Drosophila melanogaster: one gene and its partners. The protein of the gene in region 2 interacts with the protein of the main gene of each other region in a pairwise test. Each region holds a gene or a part of one and is shown on either strand. Other genes may lie near its edges.

Region 1 (4,020 bases), on a different chromosome or scaffold from region 2:
ACGGCCAGCAGCTGTGTGGATAGAGTGGAAAACGAATCGATTAGATAAGTTCGGGGAATTAAACTATTAGTCAGAGCACTAATTCCGAATTGGCCTTTACGACGTCTACAGGCCGTAATCAGTCAGTTTGCTTGCTTTCACCCCGTCTTTCCACTCGGATTCGTTATCTGACTCAACTCCAGTTCCAGTTGAGATAACAATGTTTTCACATATTACCAGTACACACAGTCGCAATACCTGTAGAAACCTATTGTTTTTTCCAAGCGATAAGGGGCCGCAAGTGGTTCATGGGCGTAGCTTTTTAACATTTAACCGAGCTATTGTAACGAGTTGGCAATAAAATGGTTATAGAACATTTCTGCTTGGGCGATACGAAAACATATCTAGATTGTTAGGATATCATCTATAGGATATCATATCATCTATGTATATTACTGAATTTAATAGGCAACATATCCGATTTGTATTGCTTTTAAAAATGGTTTACTCCATTTTGCGCAATTTTATAAAAAGGTCATTTGACTGGATTAATGAAGCACTAAGTCCCCCCTAAGATACTTTCGTTGGCCCAAAGCTCCTGAGACCAATCAACATACATACATACATATGGTGGCAAGCAGTGACTTCAGATCAGATGACTAGTGACTATAAGACTCACATGAACAGGCACAGGATGAGGGCCCAGCAGTGCGTCCTGCCGGAAGGAGTGGACTTCACGGTGGTCAGTACTTCGGCGTGACAGGAGGGACAGCGGATGCGGGTGGGTCCACTGCCGATGGGCACCAGGTTGGAGGTTGTGGTGGTCTGGATGATCACCGTTGAGGACTGCGGTGGCTGCGGCATCGGTGGGTACAGTGGTGGCTGGGTGGGGCCACCGGGCTGATAGGTTTGTGCGGGAGTGTATCCGGACTGTTCACTGTACGGTGGAGGCTGCTTGCTGTCCATAGTTTCGGATTATGTTTCTTCTTGATGCAGACTCTGGATTTCCGGCCGAACTGAACCGATCGCTTTGCTGGCTGGCGTTGCACTGAGGAACGAACTTAAACTGTGGCTCCCGCAATACCTCAACGATTGGCTACTATCTTATCGTCGAGAGGTGATAGCTACCATACAAGTGGGGTTTCTGTCGAACTAATAATCGGATACCTCTTTTATTGTGCACTTGATTTAGTGAGCTACAGCGATGCTTCTCCTCCGAATAGGCGACAGATGAGTCACTTGTTTGATAACACCTTTATTGCATATAAAGGCAATGAATAAGGCCAAAATATACATATGTAACATTTAGTACGTGTATTTTGCGAGGAGAGAGTATAAACAAACACAGGTTGTCGACTCGAGTGCTCTCGCCATAATATAATATTTTTGTAATTTACCAAATGCGTGACCGGTTTATATATATGTACATATGTAGATATGATTCTTTGCCAGTTGAAGCATCATCATTCCATTTGTGAAGCCTTTATTTTTTTTAATTATTTATTGGATATTGGATATTAATGTGTAACTTGCTTAATTTGTGATTAAAAATAATATATATATTTTCCGTGCTTGATACTATTTCCTGAAAAACCTTATGAAATGTCTTAATTATTCAAGTCAAAATAAAAACAGACTTCGATCTTCAATGGGTTAAGATAACTGTGTATATTTTTTATAGAAAAAGCTCCATTTACCACCCACTCGCCGGCAGCTTTGTGGAAGCTTTCCTCATGGGATCTACGTTCAAGTGCAGCCGTTAACATCGCAACCATGAAAATAGTGTTAGGCAAATACGGGGGCTTGACAAACAGATGAACAACTGGTTTGTCTAACTCCCCCCTCAGCCCAAAAAATATAATAATAAATCCCCCTCGCCAAGCGATAGCTGTTTGACTTATGTTTCTTATGTTTCAATTGTAAAATAACCCAATTTATAGGCAAATAGAAAACCCGAGTCGAGTCAGTTCAACAACATGAGCCGTCAGCTAAAGTTCCACCTTCAAGCTCCCGACGACGAGGAGTTCGCAGCGGATCTGGTGGAGATTAACCTGAACCCCAACTGCGGCCAGGTCAAGCAGAAGTCGGCTCAGGCCTTGGACCAGCTGCTCCTGGCCACGCCCCCACACAGAGGCTATCCCTACGGCTATGCCGAGGACTCCGAGCCGGATACCTACTTCTGCCGGAAGAGCAACTCCACAGGCCAACTGGCCGAGAAGGTATCACCTCCGCCGCCCGCTGCCACCAACATTAGTTGCCTCCGCCAGATGTACTGTCCGGAGTGCCACGAGCGATTGCACGAGCAGGGAGTCCGCCTGGAGCGACTCCTTACCATGTGGTGAGTGCAAGGCCAGGACATTTCTTTAAAGTAAATTCTTAGGATGGAATATAAATAAGATTATTTAATCGTAGTATAGGGCTATTAGGATAATAACAAAGATCGGAAGTATTTATATTTCTAATTCAGATTATTTCCTTATCCATTTCCAGCTGCTTTGCCCTGCTGCCCATCTATCCCTGCTGCCCGAGGCGCTCCACCAACGATTGCAAGGTCATCTGCGGCAAGTGTGGTTACCTCTTGGGGGCATGGAAAAGACAGTGAGATGAAGGGATGGGGGTCGTGGGTTGGGGCAAACGGAGTGGGTGCTCCGCTTATAATTGTTTGTTTTGTTTAGTTTTTAAGCACTTTTTGTTGACCTTGCGGCGAGTGATGAGCGCTGCTGAGACTGAAGAGCCGAGTGCCAAAAAATTGTTGATTGCTGCATGATTCTCTCAGTGGTTTCTCTTCAATTAGATCTCTTTGGTCAGATAGATCTCTTTTTCGAATTTCACTGCCTCGGGATTCGCCAAAATGTTTAGCACTTGACGCCGGCCAGTCGCAATGTCTCGGGGAAACGACTTGGATGCGGATCTGGAGGTGGATCTCCAGGAGGGGGACAGGGATAGCCAGTCGGCGGCCACCACTGTCACGCTGGAGGAGCGCCCTAGCAAACCCCAGGTGCGATTCTTCAGCATCGGACCCAGCAGCTACCAGGTGCGGTGTCCATTGTGCCAGCAGAATTCGAAAACGGAAACCGTGGAGATGACAGGAGCACTGGGCCAGCTCAGTTGCCTCTTGTCCACTTTATCCTGGTAGGAAACTTCGGAATTCGGAAAGGAATCTAAGTCCATGGATTAACATTCGTTTAAATCTCCTTTCAGTTGCTTTCCCATCTTTGCTTTGACGTTCGTCTATTCCTGTCTGCAAAGTCGCCTGAAATCGAAGCGTGTCTTCTGCAGCCGATGCGGTGGTCACCTGGGCTTCCACTGGCGTCCCACTTAGTGCGTCTGCCACTCAGATGGCTCTCTGAAATCCACGCAAATGATCTATAAATAAACCGGCAGCTGTTGTCAAATTTTTTTTAATAAGTTACTTGAATTTATTCGATCATCACTCAGGCGGTGCCTCCAAAAAGTATGTATTCATCTCTCCCACTCTCTGGCACGCTCTTAGATATTTTGATTGCGATGTGGGCTCCAATGCAGATACAGATACATTATGCGAACGTTCTTGGTTCATCGGTCAGTTGCTCTATCGCTTCGAAATGGCCAGCACCGAGAGTCTGGATGGCAGTGCCTTCGAGGGGGACATCTCATCCATTCCGCAAGTGGGCCATCTGACCACTGAGCCCCAGGAGTTGGAGTGTCCAGCCTGCCAGCAGTTGCAGACTACCCACGTGAAATCGGAGGCAGTGACCGTTCTGCAGAAGATTGCCTGCTCGCTGAATGTGCTTCTCTGCTGGTGCGTTAAGTTTTGAAAAGAAGATGAATTTCTTTATTGGTTGTGACAGTTTGATCCGAGCCCCAATACCTAATCTGTCCTTTATCCTCTAGTAATCCCATTCGCTGGAAGGGCCGTCATGATGTCAATCACTACTGCAGCTCATGTGGCTGTTTCATTGGACGCGATATCACTCTGAGTTGGTACAAGAGGACCCTCTTTCGGCTGCAACGGGGAGAGGTGGAGGATAACGGACGCTGGCAGAGATTCCGCAAGGTGGA
Region 2 (2,907 bases):
CTCGAGACACTGCGTGAAATTTATTACCTAACTGATGATGCGTCGTGCAACTGGCGCAAGTTGCTTGTCCTGGGCGACTGCCTGGACCAACAGCTCAAGCGCAAGCTGCTCTGGATGTGGCCGACATCGGTGGACTTGGACTACTTTAATCAGCTGCTAGCCATGCACGACATCCAGCGAGTTTTGAGCATCGGCTGCGGCAGTGGGCTTTTGGAATGGCTTATGACAGTGTCTGGAGGTCGGAAAGTCCCCATGTTTGGCTTGGAGGTCGATCGCAACTGGTGGCAGAGCAAGTACTCCGTTCGAAGTTTTATACCGCTTAACTATTTAGAGGATGCCAGCCAACTGGATACGGATTTATTGACCAAATGCTGCAGTGACGTTCATCCGTGTGCCTTGCTCTTCTGCTACTTCAACAATCGAGGAGCTTTTCTGGACTATCTAAATGTGTATCAAGGAAAGTGGCTTATATTGATTGGACCATTGCCCGCCCTGGGAATCCACACAGATCCCAATCCCGCCCAGCCCCAACTGCCCATCGACCAGTGGATCCTGCGAGAACGCCTTAACTGGACTGACCACAACATTGTGGCATTCTACGAAAAGATAGCCTAGTCTAGTCTGTAGTATCTCTATAATTGTAGTAATAAACCATTGCCTTACATCCTAATTAGTTCCTGTTCACTTCTATGTGAAACTTGCAGGCGGGTATGCTTTGCACTTCGGCCGTCACGGTGCTGTTAATGCCTAGATTGCTGAGAGCTCCTCGCACCAGCCCGCACGTGAAGGCCACGAACTTGGGCGCGTGCTCCAGCTGCTTGGTGCCCGGCGAGATGCGAGTCAGAAAGCGGAAAGCCTTGTCCTGCACAACGTACATTCCGTGGTTGTTCGTCCTCAGGTTGTCCACTTGCTTCTTGTATATAAGCATCCAGAAGTCGGTGCATATAAACTTCATAGTCTCCAACTCGTCCTTAAAACGCGAAACTTCACGGGTGAGCCGCTCAATCAGGCGGTAGCCGGTGGTGAAGCCTATATACTCCAAAGTGGCCAGGTCGTGCTCCTAATAGGCGGAACCAAATCAAAATCGGTTGTATGACTGATTTTTTTTTGCGTCCCTCGTGTTCCTACCTTATTGCTATCCAGACAATAATTGACTATCTCTGCATGGAGGCAATCGAAAAGGATTTCTTCAGACATTTTCGAGGATTTAATTTTTCTTTGTGAGTTCAACAAATTTTTCCTCGGATTTGTTTTGATCTAGATTTAAACAGCTGTTGCAAGCGTTAACGGGCGAATGTCTTGTTTGCTTTTAGTGGTTTATTGTTATTACTATTATTTATACTTTAATATCAAGAGTATGTATAATTATTTTAATATGAATACTCTAAAATGAGCAGATTTGATAGATCTATTTAGCGTAATTTCAAATCATTTTATAACCATATATTTTTCGATGCATATATTTAGCTAAGCTGCACACATTTCTATCGCTGATCTGGCATCACTATTCAGTGAGGGGGTGTTTGGACAAAAACACAACAAAAAATGTATACAAAACAATTCCGATTAAAATTCGCAGAATAAGTGAATTAAACTTGAACAATTGACAATTAGTAAATAATCCAGTATGCTAGACCTCGTTCACAAAGCCACGCTGCATAGCATGGTCTGTCAGGCAATCCTAGTGTTAATCTGTTTGCTATGCTACGGATGCGGTGGCCTCAGTGGAGCGAAGTTTGTCTTCGATGATACGGTGGCCATCGTCAAGAACCGGGATGTCAACTCACTGCCCACCAACTGGACGGCGATCTTCACGCACGACTTCTGGGGTGCTTCCTTGCTCAGTTCCGATTCCCACAAATCATTTCGGCCACTGACCACCCTGATGTTCCATTGCGAGTATGCCCTTCTGGGGCTAAGTGCCGCCCACATGAAGTTCCTAAACCTCCTGCTACACTGCGTCAACACGCTGCTCATGTGGCGATTGATTCGCTCTCTCTATGTTCCGGAGGTCAGCACGGCAAGATGGGCCATCCTCTCCGCTGCTCTATTTGCCGCCCATCCAATTCACACAGAGGCGGTTTCTGGTGTGGTTGGAAGGGCCGAGCTCATGTTCGGCATGATTCACTTGTTGTGTCTTCTGCTGACCGTGGCCAATACCGGAAGACTTGGTCCACAGACTGGCGGTCTAATCATGCTGCTCACCGCTGTGGGAATGCTGTTCAAGGAGTCCGCTGTGACCATCCCCATGTCGTGTGTACTATTGGATTACTTTCAAAACGGCTACTATCATCTGCGATTCAAGGATCAGTGGAGTCTTTTGCGCACCCGGATCAGCTACTTGTTCTACTTGCTGGGTACCTTGGGTCTGCTGACGGCTCGCCTTTGGTGGCAGGACTTTGAGACGCCTACCTTCAAGGAAGTTGACAACCCCGTTGCGCACAATGAGCACGTGCTGACCCGTGGGCTCTCCCAGCAGTATCTGCTGGTCATGAACATCTGGCTGATGCTGTGCCCCCACTGGCTATGCTACGACTGGGCATTGGGTTGCGTCAAGTTGGTGACCAACATCTGGGATCTGAGACTGCAGGGCGTCATCGGATTCTACTCCATCGTATTGGTGGCTCTGATGAACTTCCGACGGCTGCCCGGAATGATGTTAGCTCTGGGTTTAATGATCGTCCCGTTCCTGCCCGCGTCGGGAATCATTTGCGTAGGATTCGTGATTGCCGAACGGACGCTCTATGTACCCTCCATTGGCTTTTGCCTGCTGTCCATCTATGGATTCTTATATTGGTATGACAGCAGTACGGAAAACACCCACTGGCGCACTGCTCTACGGATTCTTTTAATGCTGCTCTTTTCGGTTATGATGGTACGGACTCGGCAGCGAGCTACTGACTGGCT
Region 3 (5,066 bases), on a different chromosome or scaffold from region 2:
AATAAGGTGGCAACGGAATGGTTGGATGCAGGAAGGGGGAAAGGGGGAATGGTGGCGAATGGTTGGTTGTCATAGTGCCAACCAACATTCCACATTCGGCTAAGGCTAAGGTCATGGGAAGTGCGCCACTTGCCATCCGACCCATTGTCGATGACTGGAGTTGCCCACTCCACGCAGTCTCGATGCCCCTGCCCTGACCACTTTTTCCGTGTTTTTTTGCTTGTCATTTCATTTCGGTATCGAGCAGCCAGTTAACATTAACGAAATGTGCACACGAAGAAATATTATTGACCAAGATCGAAAATTAATAATTCATCATAAGTTTTTAGCCATTTCTTATACCAACTTTCGTTTTAAAATGTGTGTTTTCAAATGATATTTATTTGAAAGTAAATACAAATGTAATTATTTATTATTTATAATTTTTTAATCAACTGACTTTGTTGTGAGATTTTCTTTCACTGTGCAATAACAGCGAATGTTGCCATTGGTTTTTCTCTCACTCAGTCAGTCAGTTTGTTTTGCTGCGCGTCCCTGAAATTGAAAATGCGTAAAATTGTCGAAGTTGGCGGTCAACTTCCACACATAAGTATTCACCTTGAGTGGAGCTTAAATGTATATAAAAATAAATCTACGCAAAGAAATTCATTTCTTTCCATTGTTAGGGAACCATAGTCGCAGACATTGGTAAATCAGTCCCATAAATAATACAAGTCAAGCGTCATAAATGTTATTTTAGTTAGGCTCATACGGGTGATTTTTTGCTGACTAAGCACCACTTAAATAAACATAGACATGGTTTGTTTTTACCGGGAAAAAGGGGCAAACCAACAAGTTGAAAAGGGTGAAAGGATTACAAGGAAATGGGATGAAGGACAAATACTAAACTGTTTAAGGCCGTTTGATATATGAGATGATGGTTAAGCGAGGAAGAGTTTTAAAACGAGCTAAAACTTTAATCGCAATTTAATGAGCAAACCAGGATAAATTTTAAGAAATTAATTGCTCTTCTTGTATTAAAGTATCCAAAGTATTCAAAGTATCATCCATCGCACAGCATTAATATCAAATATGGCAGTCTTTTATCTGCTTATTTCCATTTCAATATAAATTCGGTTTCCTCATAAATATCAATGGAATTTATGAGGACGAACGGAGGACCCACAAATTGAAAAAGTCTCTTTAGTCTCAGACATTCCTTGCCACACATTTGCCACTTGTCGTAGGCTGAGATGCAAAATATCAATAACTCAGAGAGCCCCCCATAACATGTTATAACCCATCCCCTAACCCTCTATATCCCAACCCAGCCCTTAACTTGATTCCAGCTTTCTGGTCTTTATGATCCCCATCCTCATAAAATTCCCATGCACTTGTCGTACCCACTCATTGTGCCAGTTGTTCGGAACGATGAATTACATTCGATACCCTAGATGTAGAGGGCTCTATTGGTTTTGTGAACGAAATGGCTTCTTGCAAGACTTCACGAACGATTTTCTATAAATATATCTCATAATATCTCTGTGTATCTCATAACTTTTTATAGATTTAGAAGTGATTCCAAATAATCATTTCACTTGATGACATAGGGTACCTGATAGCTCGATCTACCGTATAATAATTTTTCGATTATATTATTCTGTGGCTATGGCGTTTGTCATCGTTTGCTACTGTCTCCGCTCGAGTCTGCGGTCTTCTGGCAATAAAACGCTTTTGTTTGTGGCTTTATGCCCCGCGCCACAAAGTAAGGTGCAGGGGCAGATATTGGGCGCTATTAACTAGTCAGCTTGTGGGTATGGTAGATGTGGCAGTTAGCGGGGCAAGGTGCTAAGGCCCCTGATTATGTTTTGTTGATATAATAAATCTTGTTGCGCCGTAAACACCTTTTCCTGACCCAAACGCCCAAATGAGATTTCAGATAACGCATGGTGGACGTGGTCGAATAGAACAGAATTTGCATTTCACTTTTGCACAGACAAGCTGGCGACCTTGCCGCCAAATTTAAAACATATCAAACAAGCAAATCAAAAACAGACATGCCAAGATGGAGAGGCGCACCGCAATTTGTTTTATTTCTGAAACCATTTCAAAGTCAAACAGTTTTGCACAAGACTCTTTTTTTTGGCGGAAGTAGCAGCAATCAAAGCCAATTAAAATGATTTACAAATCAAGAGAATCGAGAAATATACATGTTCAGAAAGCCATCAGGTGAAAAGTTATCGCTAATTTCGAGTCTCAAGTCAAGGTCGACTGGAGCAGCAAAAATAATCGAGCATAGGCGGAATCAAAGGGGCTTTCAAATAAACAGGCATTCTCATCGTTTAGCACATAAATTCAGTTGGCTTTAGTTTCATATAACAATTTGAGCAAAAATATTGTTAGAAAAAACGCCCCCAATAACGCCCTTTTCGGCGCCTCTGAGGCAGACATAAATGTTTACAAATCGAACAAGAACTAGAAACAAGCAGAAATATTTTACTTTTGATTTAATTTATTGTGTATTTTTGAAATGCTCTGTATGGAACATTTTTGAAACAAAGTTCTCATCGTTTTGATTGCCATAAATTTGGTATTTTTATTTAGTTGTAACAATAATTAAGTATACGCACCGTTGGGCGAAACAAGTTTATGTTTTCCGCAAAACTGTATTGTTTTGCTAGATTTTCATTTTGTATTCGAATTACAATAGTTTCACGAGTCGCGCTGCTTTAAATTTAATATTTTTTGATTTATTTTTTTGGCGAGTTGTTGACACTTCAGCTTCCTGTTTGCTATTAAGCCGCTGGCTCGCAGCAATTATGCTTTTATATATCCAACTAGTACCGCCGCCGATGCCATCGAAGTGGCTTTATTGCGACGCAGTGCCGACCGATGCGTTGCCATTGTGAGGCAATAATATAAAACACCACCCACTTTTCCGCCGCCTTGCCACCTTTGCAGCGGTGTCGTCAAAGTGCTGACGATATGTGGACAAATGTAAAATGCAAAAGAGTTCGCAAAGGAGGTCCACTACATCCAATATCCACGTCCACCCACCGACACGCGACTCCAAACCGGTATCCCCAATATGCGGCACAATTCTCGACCGAAGTTTTTCCTCTGCGACCGCGACGCGTCGCATCTGCTGCGCTGCCGTTGCTTGAATGAAATCAACGAAAGCGCGCCAAACACAAAAGTGTTGCCAGCAACATGCTGTGTTGCCAGACACAAATGTTGCCAGCAGCCATGTTGCTAACAAATATAAATTACAAGTAAATGTAAAAACTTAATGGTAATGGATGATTTTAATAATTAAGTAAGAAATGAGCATTTAAAAGTTTTTTCAATTTTCATTGCTCTTTCTTTTTGCAGCATTCACCATCTACTTCGACCGGAAGTTTCAAAGAGCCAATTTGAATCCGGATGTGTCGAAGACGCAATTATTTGCAAACCGGATGATAAAAATAAATCGAAGCACAGCCAATTCATTTTAACTGCGTTTTTTTTTTTTGGCAAAAATGTATTTTTATCTTACGCATCAATAAATGTTTACTTACATGTAGCTTTGATTTTATTTCATAGAACTGTGATATCCTTTAAAAATCCTCGGATACTCTCCAGTGCATTTTGATTTTCTACTTCTGGCAACGCCAAAAAAAGCATTCAAAATGCATTGAATTTAAGCATGGCTAAAGCTTAATAAAGATAGCAAACATTTTTTATATAAAGTTTCTCGGAAAATATAGATATATGATGATCAAATATGCTTATCAAAAATGTTACAGGGTTATTTAGAATTCATGCAACTATTTCAGTATCAGTCTTTTCAAAAAGTTCATCCCAAGTGGTTGTACACCATGCTCAAACCGATAAGAATCTTGTTGTGCGCATTTATGGTCCTGGAACTTCTAGGATTTCCGACTGGAGCCCAGAGTAATGCATCATGTCCATTATCCGATCCTCCGAGTCAGTGCAGCGCCTTCTGTGTATCCGCACTACAGCCAGTTATCGATCACCTTAGAAAGGATCTAAAGGATTGGGGCAGCTGCGATGTGAAACTAAACGAAACGCAGGAAAAACTACAGCGCATTGAGTTGGCGGCGAATGAGATACTTTCCGGAACCCAGTTCATTTTCCATTTGTCAAATATGACGCACACTGTTTCAGAGGATCTCGCGGAAAGACTGGACAGGATTGAAGGCAATCAGGCAGTCCTAGGAAGTCAGCTGCAAGCGATAATGAACAGTACGGAAGTCAAACTAACAGCAATGCGGAACATCTTATCCAAACTAGAGCGCAGATCCATGCTGCAAAGCTATCGAGGAAACGAAGGACAACGGAAACGATCTAGCTATCTACCATAAAATGGATGATTAATTGCAACCTTTTAAACTATTCAAATATAAAATAATACAACAATTAAATGAACTATGTTATCAGGCAGAATACTATAATTACATAGTATATATATGCACTCTATGTAAACAATTCAGATTAAAAATGATTTGCATACGTAAACTTGTCCCAAAATTTCTCTCAACCTTGGCAACAATGTTGCCAACGAATGATGTAGGCCTATTCCTGTAGCCACACTCCCGCTACAAACATTCTCCCTCCACAGGAGGCAATTGAATTTCGGTTTCTGGCCAGCTGACCTTCACTTAACATTATAAGCGAGAAACCAAACAAACAGAAAACAAACATTTTCCATGTAATTGGCAATAGACCATGCCCTAATGCTAGGCCAAACACAACGCCCACACACACGCGCGGTGCGGAAAATGTTTACACGCCTCGCCAAGTGGAGAAACCTCCAACCATACAAGTAGATAGAGTCCTAAACCCCCCTTCTATCGGTGTGCATATGCAGGGTGTGAGATGTGGCAACCTGTTGACATCGAAACGCCTTGTGGCACGTCCACTAATTGCTTCTGACAGAGGCAACAGGTTGAATTTAGCCAGTCGAGCTGAGCATTAATTTTGACCAACGTAAACGCCATACGCTCGACTGCCCTGGGCTCCAAGGCCCACGCCCTTTGACCCAAACCACCCTGATTTTCGGCTGATTTATGTGTCCAACCTAAGCC

What was found.
Region 1: the proteins of Trs33 (region 2) and CG43325 interact in a two-hybrid assay, tested with the Drosophila melanogaster proteins (2 studies listed by BioGRID).
Region 3: the proteins of Trs33 (region 2) and CG5160 interact in a two-hybrid assay, tested with the Drosophila melanogaster proteins (2 studies listed by BioGRID).

Annotation. Positions count from the first base shown.
Region 1 is NT_033778.4:22,654,914-22,658,933, reverse strand, and holds CG43325 (uncharacterized protein), read left to right. Parts: upstream 1-1,935; 5' UTR 1,936-1,955; coding exon 1,956-2,317; intron 2,318-2,437; exon of another isoform or gene 2,438-2,469; coding exon 2,470-2,581; 3' UTR 2,582-2,860; coding exon of another isoform or gene 2,861-3,111; exon of another isoform or gene 3,112-3,180; coding exon of another isoform or gene 3,181-3,301; 3' UTR 3,302-3,385; downstream 3,386-4,020. Other genes in the region: CG13510 (uncharacterized protein), read right to left, coding at 1-11, 659-945; CG43326 (uncharacterized protein), read left to right, coding at 2,861-3,111, 3,181-3,301; CG30196 (uncharacterized protein), read left to right, coding at 3,564-3,760, 3,853-4,020.
Region 2 is NT_033777.3:15,349,724-15,352,630, forward strand, and holds Trs33 (TRAPP subunit 33), read right to left. Parts: upstream 1,273-2,907; 5' UTR 1,198-1,272; coding exon 1,129-1,197; intron 1,061-1,128; coding exon 671-1,060; 3' UTR 622-670; downstream 1-621. Other genes in the region: CG42727 (uncharacterized protein), read left to right, coding at 1-615; Tmtc4 (transmembrane O-mannosyltransferase targeting cadherins 4), read left to right, coding at 1,628-2,907.
Region 3 is NT_033779.5:7,395,629-7,400,694, forward strand, and holds the start of CG5160 (uncharacterized protein), read right to left. Parts: upstream 3,123-5,066; 5' UTR 2,610-3,122; intron 1-2,609.